3 linked regions of the Drosophila melanogaster genome follow. The protein of the gene in region 3 purifies or fractionates together with the protein of the main gene of each other region. This does not show direct contact. Each region holds a gene or a part of one and is shown on either strand. Other genes may lie near its edges.

Evidence for each region. Proteins that work in one complex are often made in the same cells at the same time.
Region 1: the proteins of rempA (region 3) and Kap3 purify together in Drosophila melanogaster (affinity purification with western blotting, with the first as the bait; one study listed by BioGRID). This does not show direct contact.
Region 2: the proteins of rempA (region 3) and Klp64D purify together in Drosophila melanogaster (affinity purification with western blotting, with the first as the bait; one study listed by BioGRID). This does not show direct contact.

Annotation. Positions count from the first base shown.
Region 1 is NC_004354.4:11,333,659-11,341,368, reverse strand, and holds Kap3 (kinesin associated protein 3), read left to right. Parts: upstream 1-1,780; 5' UTR 1,781-1,841; coding exon 1,842-2,155; intron 2,156-2,544; coding exon of another isoform or gene 2,545-2,579; coding exon 2,580-2,697; intron 2,698-3,506; coding exon 3,507-3,672; intron 3,673-3,725; coding exon 3,726-4,040; intron 4,041-4,105; coding exon 4,106-4,242; intron 4,243-4,305; coding exon 4,306-4,494; intron 4,495-4,559; coding exon 4,560-6,035; intron 6,036-6,116; coding exon 6,117-6,373; intron 6,374-6,435; coding exon 6,436-6,580; 3' UTR 6,581-7,182; downstream 7,183-7,710. Other genes in the region: CG34348 (uncharacterized protein), read right to left, coding at 624-762, 872-917.
Region 2 is NT_037436.4:5,356,336-5,361,076, reverse strand, and holds Klp64D (Kinesin-like protein at 64D), read left to right. Parts: upstream 1-1,684; 5' UTR 1,685-1,822; coding exon 1,823-3,856; 3' UTR 3,857-4,213; downstream 4,214-4,741. Other genes in the region: Cyt-c1 (cytochrome c1), read right to left, coding at 52-200, 338-385, 666-737.
Region 3 is NT_033779.5:553,234-560,838, reverse strand, and holds rempA (reduced mechanoreceptor potential A), read left to right. Parts: upstream 1-1,759; 5' UTR 1,760-2,076; coding exon 2,077-2,223; intron 2,224-2,297; coding exon 2,298-2,896; intron 2,897-2,956; coding exon 2,957-3,117; intron 3,118-3,173; coding exon 3,174-5,329; intron 5,330-5,392; coding exon 5,393-6,503; intron 6,504-6,564; coding exon 6,565-6,902; 3' UTR 6,903-7,097; downstream 7,098-7,605. Other genes in the region: uncNacbeta (putative nascent polypeptide-associated complex beta subunit), read left to right, coding at 1-45; Tspo (translocator protein), read right to left, coding at 524-742, 802-1,140.

The sequences.
Region 1 (7,710 bases), on a different chromosome or scaffold from region 3:
TGAAATCTAAGAACTCAAGTAATTGCTTTAGTTTCAAAAACTTTTTCGAGCTAGAAACACATGTAGATTATGCTTATCGTATTAATTTACTTAATTTGCAGAAAACGATCAATTATTGCTGAGCACTTTTTTTAATGCCCATAATTTCGATGATTCAACACATATTCACGGTTTGTCAAAATGTTAATTTCAGCGTTTTGGGAAACAGCTGCATCATAAGTTCCCTTAAAAACAGTGAAAACTAAGTTTATTGGACTATATTACGTTTTCTGTTTGCCTTATAGAGTGTCCACTGTATTCCCGTGCTTTGTTTTATCTAGCTTTTTTTGTTGGCAACACTGGCTGCCCAACTCTCTCCCACTCTACGCCCCTTCCTTACAACGCCATCTCTTTTTATGTTCCCTTTTAATTACAGGTGCAGAGCGGGACGGAAGACGCCGGCCAAAGGGGGAAGGGGTGCGTGGTAAGGGTGAGTGGGGGAAACTTGGCTCCAAAAGTGCGCGATCAGCATGAGAGAGTTCATTAACAGTTGCAATTGAGCCCGCGAAGCACACTGTAATTGTTGTAATTCCAATTTCCCACCCAACTTATACGCAGCTTTCCAACATTTCCATTTCGCTTACCTGTGCAGCTTGTAGATGAATAGCACCAGGAACGAAATGTAGATGAGGGCCACGAAGACCAGCGGCAGCAGAAAGGTGACAATCAGGGGGGTGAGGAAGCGATATAGCCATAGCGAATAGTCCAGATCGATGTAGGAGGCTAGAATCACAAGGTATGCAGTTGGTGGAGGGGCATTTGTTATGTATGTATGTATGTACATAGGTCAGCGGTGCGCCTTATCGGGCGCCAAATATTCGATATTACTCACACAACAGGGAGTGCAGCGTTTTGTACAGGTTCTCCAGAAATTCCATTGTCAGGCGCTGCTCCACCTCATTTGTTGTTCTTGCGCGAAAAGAGAAGCGACCGCCCACCACAACAAAAACACAAAAAAAAACGGTAGAAAAAAGAAGGGAAAATACGACAGAACAAAAAAAAAAAAAAAAAAAACAAATCGGTTTGGCCTGATTTTGTACACTTTCTTCGGCTCGCTTTGCGCTTTTCGAATTCTTTTCGCTTCCTCCTGCTTGGCGATTCTTTTAAATGGTCATCGTATAGTGCGTTTCATTTGAATCAGTATTTAGTATTTGCGCGGCTTGAAATGCATTTTATTTGCATGTTATTTGCTATTGTTATTGTTATTGTCAGTCGAGACTGTTTGCTGGTTTGTTTGTTGTGATTTTCCTAGCACAATGTAAACAATTCGCGGCGCTGCGCTCCACTCGGCTCACACGCAGTAGAGACAACCGACACCGTTCGCAGTCAGAAACATTGTGATCGCGCCGCGCTTTTTTTTGGTTAATAATACTACAAAGTAGCGATTCTTTTATTGTTGTTCCTTCATTCCATTTCGTTTGCTTTTCTGTTGCTCATCTACGTTCTTTGCACCTGGCAACGCCGGCCCAGCTGTTCTGGCTGCAGTCGTTGCCAGACTTTGGTTCTTGGCACCCAGAACAGAACAGTGATGCTCTCTTGGCTAATCACACCTGTTTCTAGCCGGTCAAGGAAGTTCGAGGAAAAACAAAGTTGTTAGTATACTGCATATTATGAATGGCAAGTTCCCAATTAGAATACAACCGCCAACTTGAATTTGAACATTCGCTTATTGGTTTGTATCGATTGAGTGCTATCGGTAATTGCCGGGTGCCGTGGCACCATCGATAGTACCGCCAGTGAGCAGACAGTTGTGCCAGCACTAGCACTTATCGACATTAAATCGGAAGTCGCATTGCAATCGCATGCAATTTGTTTTGTTATTAATTTTCCAAATAATCTCGGGCCTGGTGCTGCTGCCAATTGTGATTCACTACGTCTATTACATAATAAATGCGATTGCCGGCGATCTGTGCGAGCAGAAGAGAGCGCAAAGAGAGCAGCAGCTGCAAAGGAGCCCCACTCCGCGCCACCAAAACCGCCACCCCCCGCATCCGCCACCCACCGAAGAGGAGCCTGTGCTTTCCATAAACAATTTGACAAATTCTAGTCGCTCTCCGACAGCAGCAGCAACAACAACTGCAATGCAAACAAACGATGACGCCAAGTTTATAAAAAAGTGCGTATGTATGGGATTAGATCGTGCGTGCGTGCGTGTGTGTGTTTGTTTGTTTTCATGTGTGGGTGTACAAGTGGCCGAAGAACAAAAGAAATAGCTAAAGCACTCGTCATGCGTCAGAAAGAGAGCCACAATCACCTGGCGCTCTCTATTGATTTTCCACTTTGCGTTCACGCTTCCTCCTTTTGTTTTTTGTTATTTGCAACCGTTAATCGTTATTCGTTATTCGTTGGGTTCTTAACTTTTTTGTTCGTTTTATTAAAACAAAAGCACAAGTTAAGCCAGGCTCAAAAAAAGAATTGGATTGAAAAATCTATTACCTCATTACGCATTGAACCGCATAATTTATGATTGATCCAACAATTTGTCTCGCTCTCAATCCAAAACAAATGCAACGACAACAACAAACAAACAAACAACGAAGGAGGTGGAAAGGCGGATCCATTGAACCGCATCCCACGGATAAGGCGCTGATTGTCAACTACCAACTGGAGGCCACCGTCTTCGGGGAGCCCAACAATCCGATGATCGAGGAAAAGAAGGTAAGAACGCACGGTTACACATCGCTGCACTGGGAGAAAATGCTAGTAGATATTAGAAAATTAAAATAGGACCAGCATTATTGGTATCAAAGATGTTGATAGGGAAAGAATATAATAACAACAATATGCGAACATCTGTAACTTAGTTCTTAACTATGTTAGGTTCATAAAAAAAAAGGAAACAAAGTTGATCCTTAATCGAATAGGTTGAAAAATTGATCTAGATGTGTACACATACATATATTGCTTATTAGTTTAAATACTAGCAGTCATTGTTCTACAAAAACATCCGAATGAGTACTTAAAAAAGCTACTTCTGTTTCTTCCGGTGTGCCCCGAAAAGGGTTAAGGGGCGGGGGGCAGAAGCTGACATTGAGCGGCCCAATCGATAGCGCAACAACAACGGGGTCGATGACGGCCTGCGCTCCAAGTAGTGAGTGAAAAATGTAAAACCACAGCAACAAAAAAAAAAAGATACCCAAAAGCGGTTGGTTGGCCGGGTCTTTAACCTCAATTCACGTTTTTTGGCCGAGCGACAAGCTTATTTTTCGCCGATTGTTCACGACCATAAATATGTACTACATAAGTAAGTCTCTTATGTTTTGCTCTTGGCCATAAATATTGGCGACCAAAAAAGTTTTCAGCTTAGATGCGAAGTGGTTAATTGCCCTGAAGTGGTCCTAAACTAGTTCCTCAATCCTAATAATTACTCTATGTTTATAAATAGCAAAATAACAGCAAAAACAATTAGCCTAATAGTACATTATTTCAGTCGTTAACTAATGCATGTATTGTATTTAATCGCCCAGCACTGTCAAAAAATCATACGACTCCGTTCGCTGAACGCCAAAACGGATCCGGCTGCCTTGGCACGAGAAGTGGTGGAGAAGTGCGATCTCATCCACAAGTCCCAGCTTAATGACGTCGAGCAGATAATCTTTTATCTGAAGAATCGCAAGGATAATGCAAGCAATGGTAAGCAGTTAGATTGTTAGCAGAAATCCATACTAACACTCAGTACCCATTAGATATACCGGATAACAACACTCACAGCCGGCGATCGGCGGCGCTGCACACTTCGCACACCCGCTCCTCTGCTCGATCGCACAGCAGTGTGGCGGCCATGACCAGCAGCACCGGCAGCGGCGGAGGATCCACTGGAGCTAGCAATGGTGTCTCGAATGCCCTGAGTGCCGCCACGCCCACGGCGGATGTGTCCATAAACAATATCGATGAGTATGTGGAGCTGCTGTACGAGGAGCTGGGCGAACGCATTCGAGGCTCGGCCATGATCCTACAGATGGCGCGAAATCCCGATAATCTTGAAGAGCTGGAAAAGAATGGTAAGGATAAGTTTGCAGTTCTGTAGTTTTGAACCCAAACCCAATGTACTATTTCATCATTTTAGAAGCCTGCCTCAGCGCCTTGTCACGTGTTCTGCGCGAGGACTGGCGCAAATCCCTGGATCTCTCCACCAACATAATCTACATATTCTTCTGCTTTTCCACATACACCAAGTTTCATCCGCTCATTGTGCAATATAAGGTGGGAATAGAGTTTCTTAATTAAGTTCTAAGCACTCATTTAATCGTTGTTAATCTATTTCAGATTGGATCGCTGTGCATGGATGTGATTGACTATGAGCTGCGTCGCTACGAGACAATGAGAAATGAGCTGGACGTGCGCAAACAGCCCAATGGATCATCCACTCCACATTCGGCAAAGGCCAGCAAGGAGAAGCTGAACCGCAGCACCGACGATTTCCTGGACATCATGAACGAGGAGAAGCCCAAGGAGGTAATTTTATTTCTATAAGTTCTTGAAAAACATATCTATCGAATACTCAACAAATTCACTTTCAGATGGAGCCGCCGCGTCGTCGCATTCCGGAGCTAAAACAGCGTCCCAAGTCGGGCAATTGGAGCAGCTTTCACGGCTCCATGTCATCGTCGCTGATCAAGAGTCAGATCCTGAATAGCAGCTATCACGAGTCCCTTTGCGCCGGCGGTTCACCTGGCGGCGATACTCCGGCTGTGCCCGCTGAACAGAAGGCCCAAAGCAACGAGTCGCTGGACAGGAATGATCCCAAAGTGAAGAAGGAGGAGATCGATCGGCTGAACAAGCAGCTTAAGATCTTTGCCAAAAAGCAGGAGCAACTGTTGCGCGTGGCCTTCTACCTGCTGCTGAACATGGCCGAGAATGTTAAGCTGGAGGAGAAGATGCGCCGCAAGCATATCGTTAAGATGTTGGTCAAGGCGCTGGATAGGCAGAATATCGATCTACTCATGCTCGTCAGCACGTTCCTCAAGAAGCTATCGATTGTGGGCGACAACAAGGACGAGATGGGCGCTTTGAACATTGTGGCCAAGTTGCCACGATTGTTCCAGAGCACGCACACGGATCTGGTGCAGGTCACCTTGAAGCTGGTCTTCAATCTCTCCTTCGACGGCGGACTGCGTCGCAAGATGATCGCCGCCGGCTATCTGCCCATGCTGGTGATGTTCATCAACGATGAGAAGCATCACGGCATTGCTGTGAAAATACTGTACCACATGAGCTTGGATGACAAAGTGAAGGGCATGTTCACGCAAACGGAGTGCGTGCAAATGGCCACGGATGCCATAATCCTAAACCTCAATGTTAAAGTCGATTTGGATCTCATTGCCTTGTGCATTAATCTCTCGCTAAATCGCCGTAATGCCCAGATTATGGTGGAGGGCCAAAGATTGCATAGCCTAATGGATCGGGCCTTCAAGTACCAGGATGCCTTGCTGATGAAGCTGCTGCGCAACTTGTCGCAGCACGAGTCCCTGCAGCTGCAGTTCATCGACTATGTGGGAGATCTGGCGCGCATTTTGACCATCTGCGATGACGAGGCCTTCATAGTCGAGTGCCTCGGCATTTTGGGTAACCTGGCCCTCACCGATTTGGATTACTCGCAGATCTTGCAGAACTTCCAACTGATTCCATGGATTAGACAGATACTGCTGCCGTGCGCCAGAATGGACGACCTTGTGCTGGACACCATTGTTTACTTGGGCACCTGTGCCTGCGACGAGTTGTGTGCCCTGCTCTTCTGCCGCGCCAAAGTGGTTATATCCCTGATCGAGTTGCTTAAAGCGAAGCAGGAGGATGACGAGATTGTGCTGCAGATCATCTTTGTGTTTCAGCAAATCCTGCGACACGAAAGCACCAGGGAGTACATGATCAAAGAGACGGAATCGGCGGCCTATCTCATCGATCTGATGCACGACAAGAACGAGGAGATCCGCAAGGTGTGCGACTATTGCTTGGACATTATTGCCATAAGCGACAGCGAGTGGGCCAAGCGCATCAAGGTGAGTTGCTTGCCAGTCCAAATATGGCATATCTTAGTACAAACTTGTTTGTGTTTTCTTGTTCTCGTTGTTACATGGCAGCTGGAGAAGTTCCGCAACCACAATTCGCAGTGGCTGTGCATGGTGGAGTCGCAGCAGGACCAGGACAATGAGCAGGACTACGCCGATCAGGAGGACGAGTGCGACAATGATCTGGACACGTATCTGCGCTCCGAGTACTTGGACAATTGCGATCTCTACAACGACAATGCCGACAATGACAGCAATAGCAACAGCAACCATAGCAACAACAATCCGGCCAGCCCGGCCATGTCCACCTACAGCAGGCCACTGAGCACGTGAGTTTTGACCAAGTTTCCACTTCGATTCGAGTAATTAAGTGATAAATCACATGGTACAGCTATCGCCGCAGCCAGGATCTCGATGATTTGTACAACATGACCTCCAGTTCCAAGTCGCAGGGCTCCAGCGACAACAACTACATATTCAAGTCGAACAAATCCCTGGATGCCGATGGTCTGCACGAGGAGCTGCTGATGGCTTAAATGAGGAGAAAGGTCCTAACCCGAATCGATTGAATTTGAATTAAGATGCTTCTGCCGATTGCCCGCCCTCCCGTGTACATGTTTAGTCACTCTGCCTATTAACGACCTTCTGCTTGGATTTATTGGATATTTATATATATATATATATGTATACATATATACGACACCTTTCACGCTTGTTAGTCAAAGACGTTAAATGATTTTAGCGACGCGGCAACTTTGTACTCAAGACATTCAAAATGAGCAACGGCGCACAGACACTGGTTAGTTTAAGTTTGGTTACTTACTTATTGGTATGGTATTTTTTTGTTTGTTATTTATTAATATTTAATTTATTGAGGTCTTGTTTAAGTGCGATGTATGGCTTAGCTTCCACTTTGGTTGTTCGCAACGCAATTACTGTGCAATAATCTCTCACTTAAAGTATTACGTCGAACGTTTTTAGTTGTACTTGTTTTAGTTTACCGAACCTAAACTTTTCGTTTTCTCGAATATCTTACGAACAAAAGTCAAATTGTAATATTAAACAGTGGGCGACAAATGAAACGCCGACATAATGAAACGCCGAAGAATATAAACAAAGCTAATGTAAATGTTCACCTAGTTCGTATTGTTTTCTTTGGTTTTGTTGGCTGTTCAAAAAAAAAAAAAAAAAAGGGGTGAGTACTTTTCCCATTCCGCAGAGCTGTTTGTCTCGCCATTAAAATGCAACAATTTGAAATAATATTGGCTTTTAATTTTGTGTTACACAATAAGGAATATTAAGTTGCAGTTCGTTTCCGAAACATACTTATGACAGTGGCTAGACCGATCCGATAAACATGCATATATCTAGGTATGTATGTATGGTACGTGTATATATAAATAGAAGAATATGCTCTCTAGTTCACTTTATATATATATATATATATATATATATATATCGTGGATATCCGTAAGGCGAGGCCTTCTAGCGTTCAATGTTAAGCTTAACCTAGATATCTCCACTTCAGCTTCAGCATCGGCATCTCCCACTGATTGGTGTTCCGTTTCCACTTCGATTTGACTTGGATCGCTTCGCACATCTGCCGCAGTTTTTGCACTTAGACTATGGTTTTAACAAATTTTTACACAAATATCAGACACAGACA
Region 2 (4,741 bases), on a different chromosome or scaffold from region 3:
AATGCCCAGTTCCCGACCACTGATCAGTTTAACCGCCGTTTTTTGGATTACCTCTGGTGGTCCAAAGCGTCGAAGAGGCCCTTGTGGTTCCAGAGTTGCGCGGGGGAGTGCACCTCGCCGCCAGATGCCTGCACGGACTGCTCCAGGGCGTAGATAAGGGCGCCCACTCCGCCGGTGATTGCTCCCAAGGCGCCGATCAGCTGTTCGTGATGCACACACACGCACATACAGCCGCACACAGTCACCGAGAAGCAAACGCGTTTTGAGGTTAGGTCCGATCGGGTATTATGAAATGCGAAGTGGGGGAATATGTGAGATTCCTGACTAGCTGACTTACCTTCTTGTTGCCACTGGCCCAGCTGCCGGCGGAGGAGAGGTTCTTCGCCTGCAAAAAGAACGGATGTCATTTAGTTTGGATGTTCGGCCAAGGAGAGTAAGAATTTTTGCACGGAGTTACATAATTGGATTGTTCGGTTCGTATCCGAGTTCATTTAATCCCATTGGAATTGCGGATACCACTCACTGTGCCACCTAGAGTGCACCATTGGTCCTTGTATTTTATGTTTTACGGTATTATTTCATGTTTTTCTCCATCGGACACACGACTCCTTCAAGGTGCTGCGGTGGCTGTTGAAAAACTTGCATCCGCCGTTCACGATCTTTACCTGCTGCAGGCTGAGTGCTGGCGCGGATTTCAGCAATCTCAAGCCATGGAATCTTCGCAATGTCGCTGCCATGGTGGCCGGAGTTTTAATTTCTGCGTCGTCTGGTCGTTTAAGGAAACTCTGCGGGCAGCCAATCGCCAATCGAATCAATCTTTCAGTACCACTGCCACAACGTCTTCCTCTTCTTCGCTGCTCTCTCGCGGAGGTGGTGGTGGGCAACTCGCTCGTTTGCCAGCGAATCGGAATCGGCGGGGGCGATATTTTGGTATTTTTAAACAGATATTTTAATTTTATTTTATTATTATTTTTTTATTTACTGTATGATATTTATTTATAATATGATATTAATGTATGTATAATTTAAATAATACATTTAAAATATCACTTTTTATTTTTTTCTTTTTTAATAAATATTTGTTACACAGTGTACCTTAATTGCTTTTAGTGTTTTTTTTTTCTTTCATGTTCTTTATTATATCTTCGAATTTACGGTTTTCCAACTTGTTGATTCAAAATACTTCATAATCTAATTGGAACTACTTGTTGACATTAAGTTGGATTTTTTGATTTTTTAGAAACCACTTGATGATTTCATAAGATAAGTTGACAGAACAGCTCTAAAAACAGCTGCCTTAGCCTTAGCCAAATTTTTGGTTGCTGTTATGTAATTTTTCATGTTTCACTGCGCTGTTATCACAAAAAAAGATTTTAATTTTTATTATTGAATTCTTTTCGAAATATCTATAAAATTCTTAAAAGCCTTGAAAAAGGATTTTCAAAAAGTAAAAATAAGTACAATTATCGCAGTTCACAAAATAACCTTCGATTGCTTATATCACAGGTCAATATTATAATTTTATTTTTATTTTTGCTAATTGTTTTTATATATATATTATTTAAAAAAAAATATATAAAATTATTTTGTCTCACTGATGAATAGATTTTTCCGCTGGTCTGGCATCCTTCTCGCCCGTTTTTCGCACACTTATCGATAACAGCTGACCACCCGTTAATGATTCGCCAACAAAAAAAACCTAGCAACGCATAAACAAATGCGAGAAAAAACCCCCTTTATTGATTTCCACTAAGTGCGGTCAGCGCAAATAGTGGTTAATAGCTTTCACTAGACGAGGAATAAAGCCAGGACGTAGATCGCCATGCCGCAGGAGGAGGCAAATGCGGGAACAACGGCCCAACTCGATGACGAAATCGAGAATGTGCGTGTGGTGGTGCGAACGCGACCCATGGACAAAAATGAGTTGTCCGCGGGAGCGCTAAGTGCGATTTCGGTGGATAAGATCAACCGGGCCATTACGGTGATGAAACCGAATGCCACCGCCAATGAACCGCCGAAAACGTACTACTTCGACAATGTATTCGATGGTGGCTCCAATCAAATGGATCTCTATGTGGACACCGCTCGTCCGATTGTGGACAAGGTGCTGGAGGGCTATAATGGCACCATCTTGGCCTACGGACAAACGGGCACCGGCAAGACGTATACCATGTCGGGGAATCCGGATTCGCCGCAAACAAAGGGCATCATTCCGAATGCATTTGCGCACATCTTTGGTCACATTGCTAAGGCCAAGGAGAATCAGAAGTTCCTGGTGCGCGTCAGCTACATGGAGATCTATAACGAAGAGGTGCGGGATCTACTGGGCAAGGATGTGGGCAAGAGCCTGGAGGTCAAGGAGCGACCGGACATCGGTGTCTTTGTTAAGGATCTCAGTGGCTATGTGGTGCACAACGCCGATGATCTGGAGAACATCATGCGTTTGGGTAACAAAAATCGTGCCGTGGGAGCCACCAAAATGAACCAGGAGAGCTCCCGCTCCCATGCCATTTTCTCCATTACTGTGGAGAGAAGTGAGCTGGGCGAAGGTGATGTCCAGCACGTAAGGATGGGTAAACTACAGCTGGTGGATCTCGCCGGCTCCGAAAGGCAGTCGAAGACCCAGGCCAGTGGACAGAGACTTAAAGAGGCCACCAAGATTAATCTTTCGCTATCGGTGCTGGGAAATGTGATCAGTGCTTTGGTGGATGGAAAAAGCACCCACATACCGTATCGGAACTCCAAGTTAACTCGACTTCTGCAGGACTCCCTCGGTGGTAACTCCAAGACCGTCATGTGTGCCACCATTAGTCCAGCGGATAGCAATTATATGGAAACTATATCCACACTTCGCTATGCTAGTCGTGCTAAGAATATCCAAAATCGCATGCACATCAATGAGGAACCCAAGGATGCTTTGCTTCGTCACTTTCAGGAGGAGATTGCCCGACTTCGCAAGCAATTGGAGGAGGGCGACAGCTTGGAGGAGGAGCCACCGAGCTCCGAAGAGGAGGAGGATACAGCAGATGACGAACTGGAGGCACCACTGGAGATCGAATTGGAATCATCAACGATCCAGGCTGTGGAGAAAAAACCCAAGAAGAAGCGCGAGAAAACCGATGCCGAAAAGGAGGAACTGGCCAAGCGCAAAAACGAGCATCAGAAGGAAATCGAGCATGCTAAGACGGAGCAGGAAACACTTCGCAATAAACTAGTCTCATTGGAAGGTAAAATTCTCGTTGGCGGCGAGAATCTGCTGGAGAAAGCCCAGACGCAAGAGCTGCTGCTAGAGCAATCCATTGCGGAGCTGGAACAACATGAAAAGTCCGAGGAGGCGCTGAAGCAAACTCTACAGCAAAAGGCCACCGAAAGGATTGACATTGAGGAGCGTTACTCCACGCTTCAAGATGCCAGCACTGGCATTACCAAGAAGATACACCGGGTGATGCAGATGCTGATGGGCGTGAAATCGGAGCTGGCGGATCAGCAGCAGGAGCACCAGCGCGAAAAGGAGGGCATATACGAGAATATCAGGAGCCTATCCAGGGAATTGGCCTTATGTGAGCTGGTATTAAATTCCTATGTGCCCAAGGAGTACCAATCGATGATTAATCAGTATACGCACTGGAACGAGGACATCGGCGAGTGGCAGCTGAAGTGTGTGGCCTACACGGGTAACAATATGAGGAAACACATCTCGGCGCACAAGACGAGTGGCAAGGAGCCAGATTTCCTCGATCTCTCACATGTCTATCTCAGCTACAACACCGATGGCGTGTCCAATCCAATGCGCTCCAAATCCGCCAGGCCGCGAACCTCGGGTGTGCCCAGACCGACGACTGCCAGGCGATATTGAAGCTAGTGTTGGAAGGACAATCGACTGCTAGTCCAGCTGCATGTCCTCGGCGGTCTGCGCGTCCAATTTTGGTTTCTGCTCCTGCTAATCTTGATTTTCTACAGCCTCAGATTCATTTGCTCAGCGAATTTCCTTTTTGTTAGACCTTAGTTTTTGTTGATTTATTGCTTAGGACATACTTTTTAGGTTGAACAACGGTGCAATATATTTACTACTGTGTTTGTAATTTTACTTTCTAACTTATATTTATTTTATAATACTTACAACTAAGTAGTAACAAGATTTTACCCGATTAGGCACAAATATATAACTATTGTGTGCTCTTGGCTTTTAAATAAAAATATGATACTCACACGTAATTATTTTATATTCTTACTTCAAGGAATTATGCGTAATTTCTTTTTATTTTTTAGCAGCTTGAAAGCATGCTTTAAATTTTCCGGGCTTGCTGAAGAAAACTGAAATTTGGCCGACCTACTCATAACAGGTTCCATAGTGTAGCGGTTATCACGTCTGCTTTACACGCAGAAGGTCTCCGGTTCGATCCCGGATGGAACCACGTTGACAAAAGTATATATTTTTTTAAATTCATTATATGTTTATTAATTTTTATTACGACAGAAAACATAAATTCAAGTTTTTTATTCCCACAAAATACTAAATAATACTTAAGTAAAAACAACTGATTTTTGTGTATACTATGAACACGAAAGAATTATATATAACATATTATATACTTTTGTTTGCTAAAACTCCACTTAGTAAGCGTTTAAAAAAATAAAAATAAAAAAAAGTTACTTCCTCCTGGTTCCATCCGGGATCGAACCGGAGACCTTCTGCGTGTAAAGCAGACGTGATAACCGCTACACTATGGAACCAGATGCC
Region 3 (7,605 bases):
GGAACTCCTACCAATCCTGCTTCCGCCTCTGGGGGTCCCAACTGATCCTCCTTCAGTCTATTTTCTAATCGGCGCCCTTGCATTTCAAACTCACTCGCATTTTCAGAGCCCATTTTCGCCTTCGTTAATCTCTGATGAACCCGGGTACTAACCGTTTTTTGATTATTTGTGGCCTTTACATTTTTGAATAAAATTATGATTTAACAAAGACTGAAGTGAATCGAGAAATTCTTTCTCAATATCTTTGGTTATTCCATTGCAATGTCACAACAAATTGTAGCCTATTAATCGTTCTCGAGAATAGCATTGAAAATTACGATTCTTTAATTTATTATTAACACATAACACATAGGGAATTTTTGAACGTGCAGCAGCATATGATACTTTGAATTTAGCGCCCCATTGGAGGCACTGCTTATCGATATTTTATCCAACTTTGCCCAGCCCTGGTTCGATAGGTCGGAAAGCCCTGCAATTTGCATGAAAGACACCCAAAATTACTTGTTTTTCGTTTATCCTGGGCTTAACTCGACTTAGCGTGGCTGCTAGAGGGCTTCTCCTCGTCCTTGGGCGCCTGCTCCTTCTCCGGGTTCAGCTTCCAGATGGCGTAGTTCAGAGCCGTCGCGAATCCCAGCCAGGCGACGTAGGGTACGAAGAGCAATCCAGCGGTCTTGTTCACTCGGTAGAACAGAACGCCGCAGGCGGACGCGGCGGCCGTGAGTGCAACTATGTCAATAAGGCCCTGGTGGATGAAGCGGATTAGACATAACACCTGGGCTTGGTGATATCAGCAGTACTCACGCCCTTGATGTTGTGCTGCCCGAAGAAAATGGGCGTCCACGCCCAGTTCAAGGCCAGCTGGGTGCCGTACGCGATCAGGGGCAGTTTGGCCGCCTCGCCGGCGAAGCCTCCGCCATCACGCCACACCAGGTAGGAGCCGTAGCCCATTCCCGCGTACAAGGAGATCCACATCGGCGCAAAGACCGAGTTGGGCGGCTTGAAGGACGGGAACTTAAGGTTGGCGTACCAGCTCTGGAGATGCTGCCTGGTCAGCCGCCCGTTATAGATGCCGCCCAGATTGGGCAGAATCACGGCCCCGGCGATGCGGAGAATGTTTCCAGCACACGGACGATCAGCCATTTTCAGAGTTCGCACTGCAAATGAGGCGCAGTAGTGGCGAACCTTCTGGTTTCACTGTTTTGTTTGCCGGTGATTTCATTCGAATGCACGAGTATTGCGAGTTAACGGGGCGAATACGCGACGGATGATTGTGTGGGTAAGCTCCAGCGATGCCAATTTGGCTAGATTTAAACTAGCTAAAGTATGTGGAATGCAACTTGAAATCAAAGACGCTAGAATTAATTAATAGAATCGCATGGTTATTTAGAGCTGTGAACATTTGATTTCTGCCATGAAGGAATTCTCATGTTTTTCTTTAACATGCTATCTGATTAATAGGGATTTAATATTTATCTGGAATTTTGGCAAAGCTGCAAAGTCATTGCTAAGCCGTTAATAGCTGGTTGTCACATGTGCAGGGGAGGAGCATAATGCTTATCAATAGATTCCAAAATGATGTAATGAATGAGTAATGTCGTCGATCTATGGAAGTAATTATTATAATTATATCTACCCATTCGTATTTATTTAAAATTATCTTCGCTGCTGGGTGTCGGAATCACCCTGTGGGTAGGCAGATTTAACAAAACCCGTTAAGTTTTGAAAATAGAAATAGAACTGTATTGTTGGGAAGTACCATATTAAATTCCCTGGAAAAGTTTTGTTTAGCTTGTTTGTTTGTTTTACCCCATGACAAATCGTGCGATCAAGTGGTGAATGATAACTTGAGAACTCATAAACCAAAGAGTTATTTGTCGGTAAAGTGAATTAATGGTGAAATAAAACTATTGTGCTTATTTGCTCTTTGCAATATCCAATAACCTGGATCAAGTTGGTATCTCAATTAATCAATTGCTTAGGAGCAACCATGACAACCGTTGCTAGGCAAACACATTGTTACTGTGTTTTGGCTCCTGCCAAAACAAATTCATCCACTAAAGGTGGAAAACCGGTGTGATGACTCTCTACTTTGACACGAAAATCGAGTTCTTGGACTCGGATGCAGTGAGCACCATCAGCAGCTGGCATCCCAGTGAGCCGCTCTTCGCAGTGGCCTCTTTTAGTCCCGAAAGAGGCGGTTCAGTGACCATCTTTGCAGATACCGTCAGTATTAATCGCTTTGGTCGCAGACCCTGCCAAAAATCGGAATGTATATAATCTATATAATCAAATTGCAGGGTGAGCCCCAGCGAGATGTAACTTATCCGGTGCACGCCACTTCGCAAGCGACGGCACTATGCTGGCATCCGGAGAAGGCGCTCCTGGCCAGCGGTTGGGAGCACGGCGACATCCATGTGTGGTTCGCTGGTCACAGGGAGTTTGCCAGCGTGAACGCACCGCACAAGGCGGCCATCGTCCTGCTGCAGTTCAGCGAGCAGGGCGGGCGGATGGTCACGGCGGATGCCATGGGCTTGGTCACCGGATGGCGCTGCGATGGCCAGTACCAGTTCCTAACCATGTTCTCCCACGACCTGCGGGAGGTGTTGCTGCTGATCTGCTTCCGCCTTACGGTGGAGAGTGAGGTGCGCGAGGAGATGGCCAATCTAGCCAAGGCTGCTGTGGCAGGCGATGAGAACGCCCTGGACACCCTAACCAATTGGAGACCGCGCACAGCAGCCCGGAGCATGACCCATTCGGGGGTGCGGGACAACCACTGCTTCTACGCTTGCACCCAAGGAGGAGTGGTGTACTACATCAACCAAGGAGGCGCCTGTGTCGAGGTGATGAAGTGCGGATCACTGCCTCCCATTGTCCAGATGTTGTGGCACCCAAGAAAGTAAAGAGCTGTTGAGATCGAAAGGTTCTTTACCTGAACCCTAACATTATTCCATTCTAGGGACGCCGTCATTTGCCTGATGGAGGACTTGACAGTCACCTTGTTTTTGGTTGAATCCACAGGCATCCTTACGGAGCTGGATCGTGTTAAAATGAGCGGACGTGGAGGCGGTCGGCAGGGAGGCATCGCGTGGTCTGGAAACTCTTTAGCCATCATAACAGGTAGGATATATTATTCGATTTTTCACTTCTGTGCTAAATTTAAGACTAATTTTCAGGCGATTTTTTCGTCCGCATTTGGGACATCGAGAGAAGCGACAATTACCTATTGAAAATGGACCTACCCAGTGGCAACCAGCCAGGCTCATCTATGACCACTTTAAGTAATGGCACCATGTCCTCGTCCAACCAATTCTTTAGCCATGACAGCAGCGAAAGCAGCGGCGTTCTCCGCAAGACACCAAAGTACGGCCAGCTGAACGGCGAAATGTTCACCTGCTTGGCATATAGCTCTACGGGACAGACTCTGTGTGCAGGAACGTCCCAGGGGAATGTCTATACTTGGAAGAGGAGCGGCAGCAGGCTAGTCGGTGCCCCCGAAGATGCCTGGCAGCTGACGAACATATCTTCCGTGCGAGGAGCCATCCGCAGCTGCGAATGGGGATACAATGAGCTAGCCAAGCCCTGCATGCTGGTCAACTGCCTTTCCAATGTTTTCATGCTGAAGGAGCAACCTCTGCTCGCCGTTCATACCCGCGAACTGTGGGCAGTTCAGAGGTCAGCCAAATCAGTGCAATTGACGCACTGCAGCGGTCGGGAGGCCATTGTTCAGTCCGAGTTCGCCGTGACTGCCATGGCTTTGAGTGAACTGAGCTTGGTGATGAGTAATGGCAGGAGCATATCATCCTATAGCCTGCAGAAAGTGGAGAAGAGCTTGGATGAGTTCGAGGAGATCCTGCAGACAGTGGAGGGCACAACACCGACGACGGAATCTACCACCACTCCGTTGAGTCTGAAACTCCTGCAGACCTTTGCTGCCGAATGCTTAGCCTTGAATCTGTGCAACCAGAACATATTTTGCTTGGGTAGCAGTGACGTTTTTGTTTACTCCGTGGGAGGGGTAGTGCTTCACCGCATTCAAGCAAGCGATATTGAAGGAAAGATCATTGGAATGGATTTGAGTGGCTGCTATCTCTCGGTATTTACCATGAATGGATATGTGAAAGCTTACGACGTTTCTAGGCACGATCCCAAGCTGCTCTTTCCCAGCAAATCGGGTCACGACATTTTCGATGACTTCGGGGAGTTCATTCTGGTCAAGTGCAATAGCTCCGGCAGCCACTTGGCCATGGTGATAGCCAGTAGCAATTTCACCCCTATATCCACTTTATTCTGCTGGGACTTTGAGCGCAGCAATCTTCTTGAATATGGACTACTGGAGCCAGAAACCAACGCCAAGAAGGAGTCTTCGACAAGTTTGCCGGTTCGGATTTTCTGGGATGCAGAGGAACCTCGTCTCTTGGCTACAGAAGTCAAGTCCATGATTCAGAAGACCCTGCCCCAGAAGAACTCCTTGCAACCCAGTCATTTTGTGCAGTCAAAAGTCGTCCTTTTGTTTTATTCCGAGAAAGGCTGCCTGAATGTCCTCGAAACACAATCCATGAGCCCAGGCTGCCAGCTACTGAACCTTTGTGTACCCAACGTGATCCGGCTGAAGATCAATACGATGGAGGAGCAACCTCTGCAAGACTTCGTCGACCTACAGCAGTGCAATCCAGTTACGAGGAAGCAAGTCCTGAATTTCAGTCTCTACGTCGCAGAGGGAAATATGGATATGGCTTATCGCAGCATTCGCTCGATTCAATCGAAAGTGATCTGGACAAATCTGGCTAAGATGTGCGTGCACACGAATCGCTTGGACGTGGCCAAGGTGTGCATGGGCCACTTGGAACAGGCCCGCTCCGTTCGTGCCTTACGCCAAGCGATTGAAGATGACGATCTGGAGACGGAAGCCAAGGTGGCTGTGCTGGCGATAGAACTCGGAATGATTGAGGAAGCCAAGGATCTTTATCGTCGATGCAAGCGCTTCGATTTGCTAAACAAGCTGCTCCAGTCCATTGGGCACTTGGATGAAGCAGTAGAGCTGGCCGAGGCCGAGGATCGGATTCATCTGAAGCACACGTACTATCAAAAGGCACAGGAGCTGCGAGAGAGGGGTGACATCAAGGGAGCTCTGGAGTACTTTGAAAAGACCCAGAATCCAGCGCAAAATATTACCCAACTGCTTTTGGAAAACCCTGGCGCCATGAAGCGCTACATCCAGACCACCAGCGATCCCAAGCTGCTTAAATGGTGGGGCCAGTATATTGAGAGCTCCGGCGACATGGATGCTGCTCTGGCTGTCTACCACAAGGCGGAGGACTGGTTCTCGCAGGTAAATTAGCAAGGCTTTAAGATACCACGAAACACTATACACTAACATCCTGTTCCTCTCAAGGTAAAGATACTCTGCTACCTAGGTAAGATCTCCAAGGCAGACGCGATTGCCAGGCAGTCGGGGGATCGGGCGGCCTGCTATCACTTGGCGAGGCATTACGAGAACGTGGGCAAGTTCCAGGAGGCCATTATGTTCTTTACGCGTGCCCAGACCTTCAGCAATGCGATCCGCATCTGCAAGGAGAACGACTTTCAGGAGGAACTATGGACGGTGGCCAGCTCGTCAAGGCAGAGGGACAAGGCAATTGCGGCAGCTTACTTTGAAGAGTGCGGAAACTTTAAACACGCCGTTGAACTCTACCATCGGGCCGGGATGCTCCACAAGGCCCTCGAGATGGCATTTGAGTCTCAGCAGCCAGAGATCCTGGAAATTATTGCCTCTGATCTAGCGCCCGATTCGGATGCCGAGTTGATTAACCGCTGTGCGGATTTCTTTTGCAGTATCGAGCAATTTCAGAAGGCCGTGCATCTGCTGGCCAAGACCAGACATTTGGAACGGGCATTGGGCATATGTTCCGAGAAGGGCGTACCCGTCACGGAGGAACTATCCGAGATGCTTACTCCGGAGAAGGGGGAGTTCGAGGAGGCGACTCGAGTCCACATCCTCGTACAGCTGGGCGAGTTCCTCCAGCAGCAGGGCGACTATCACAGTGCCACCAAGAAGTTCACCCAGGCTGGCGACAAAATTCGCGCCATGAAGAGTCTTTTGAAGTCGGGCAACACCGACAAAATTATTTTCTTCGCTAATATGTCGAGGCAACGTGAGGTCTACATCATGGCTGCGAACTATCTTCAAGCCTTGGACTGGCAATCGGATCCGCAAGTGCTCAAGCACATAGTCACGTTTTATACAAAGGGCCAGGCCTTTGATTCGCTGGCCAACTTTTATGCCATCTGCGCCCAGATCGAAATCGAGGAGTTCCAGGATTACGGTAAGGCTCTAACCGCCATGCAGGAAGCCTCCAAATGCCTGGAGAAGCTCAGCCACGCCCAGCACGTCTACAACAATCTGCAGCGCACGGTCGCGGATGTTAAGGCAATTCTGGAGATCCAGCAGGCGTTGCGCGAGGGGGATCACCAGCTGGTCATTGGCTCCTGCCGCAGCATGCTGAGTAAGTCGCTGGCCTAGAGTGTACTCAGCTTCCATTAATAACCTTTTGTTTTCACATTAAGTTAAACCCGAACTGCCGCCCATACGCCACGCCCATATCTTGGCCATGCTAATCCGAGCCCTGGTCTACGTCAAGGACTATTCTGAGGCGGGCAGAGCTTTGAAGGAGCTGACCGTGAAGGACAGCACGTGGAGTGCCTCGGGACTCTTGGATCGCAGCATCGTTCACAAAATTGCGCAGGAGTGCCACTTGGAGTTCGATCTCATCTGGAATGCGGGACGCCAGGTGACCGCCTCCACAAGCGGTACGGCCGCCACTGGAATGAGCAGCACTTCTGGGATGACGACTACTGATGATGACGACGCCGATGACGAGGAGATCACCGAGGAGCTGCATTAGATGATTCAATTAATAGGCGATGCAGCACCTAGTCACGTCCCAGTTCCGCAGAGCGGATAACAAGTAAATAGGCAAAAGAGTTCCCTTTAAATTGGATAAGCAATGGCTACAATGGAATGTTTCAACCAGCAGATACTAAGTTATGCTAAGATATTAAGTATTAATGATCATAAACGAAAGTATATACAATGACAGAAATCGTGGAAAGCATCTTAAAGTTCTCAATCAAAACGAACAAGTTACGTATTTGTATAACTTGTATTTGTATTTCACAAGACTGCTTAAATTTCTGCTTATATTGTATACAAATCCCTTGCTTGGGCCATTTGGAATTTTATGAATGAACTTCACGATGTACGCAAGCCTAGTAAAAGCTTTCGGTGCTGAAACATACATATGTATATGTATGTAGGTATATGACTTGGATGTGAGTTCAAGTGACCGACGTCACATCAAAGCAAATATAAACAGCGATACGGATTCGGATCGGCGGATCTGCCGGCGCCAGTCGGAAAGCAAAAGAGAGCGGCCATCCGTGAATCACTTGCCCAAAAGCGTCCGCGTCCTCAGCTATGTATGAAATCAGAGGCATTTCCAGGAAGCCAGCGAAACTCGGAACAATCGAAAGAGCAATCAGTTGGCGAACTGATATAAACTAAATCGAAAACGTCACCGACGTCAAGCAATTGGATATTTAGATCCC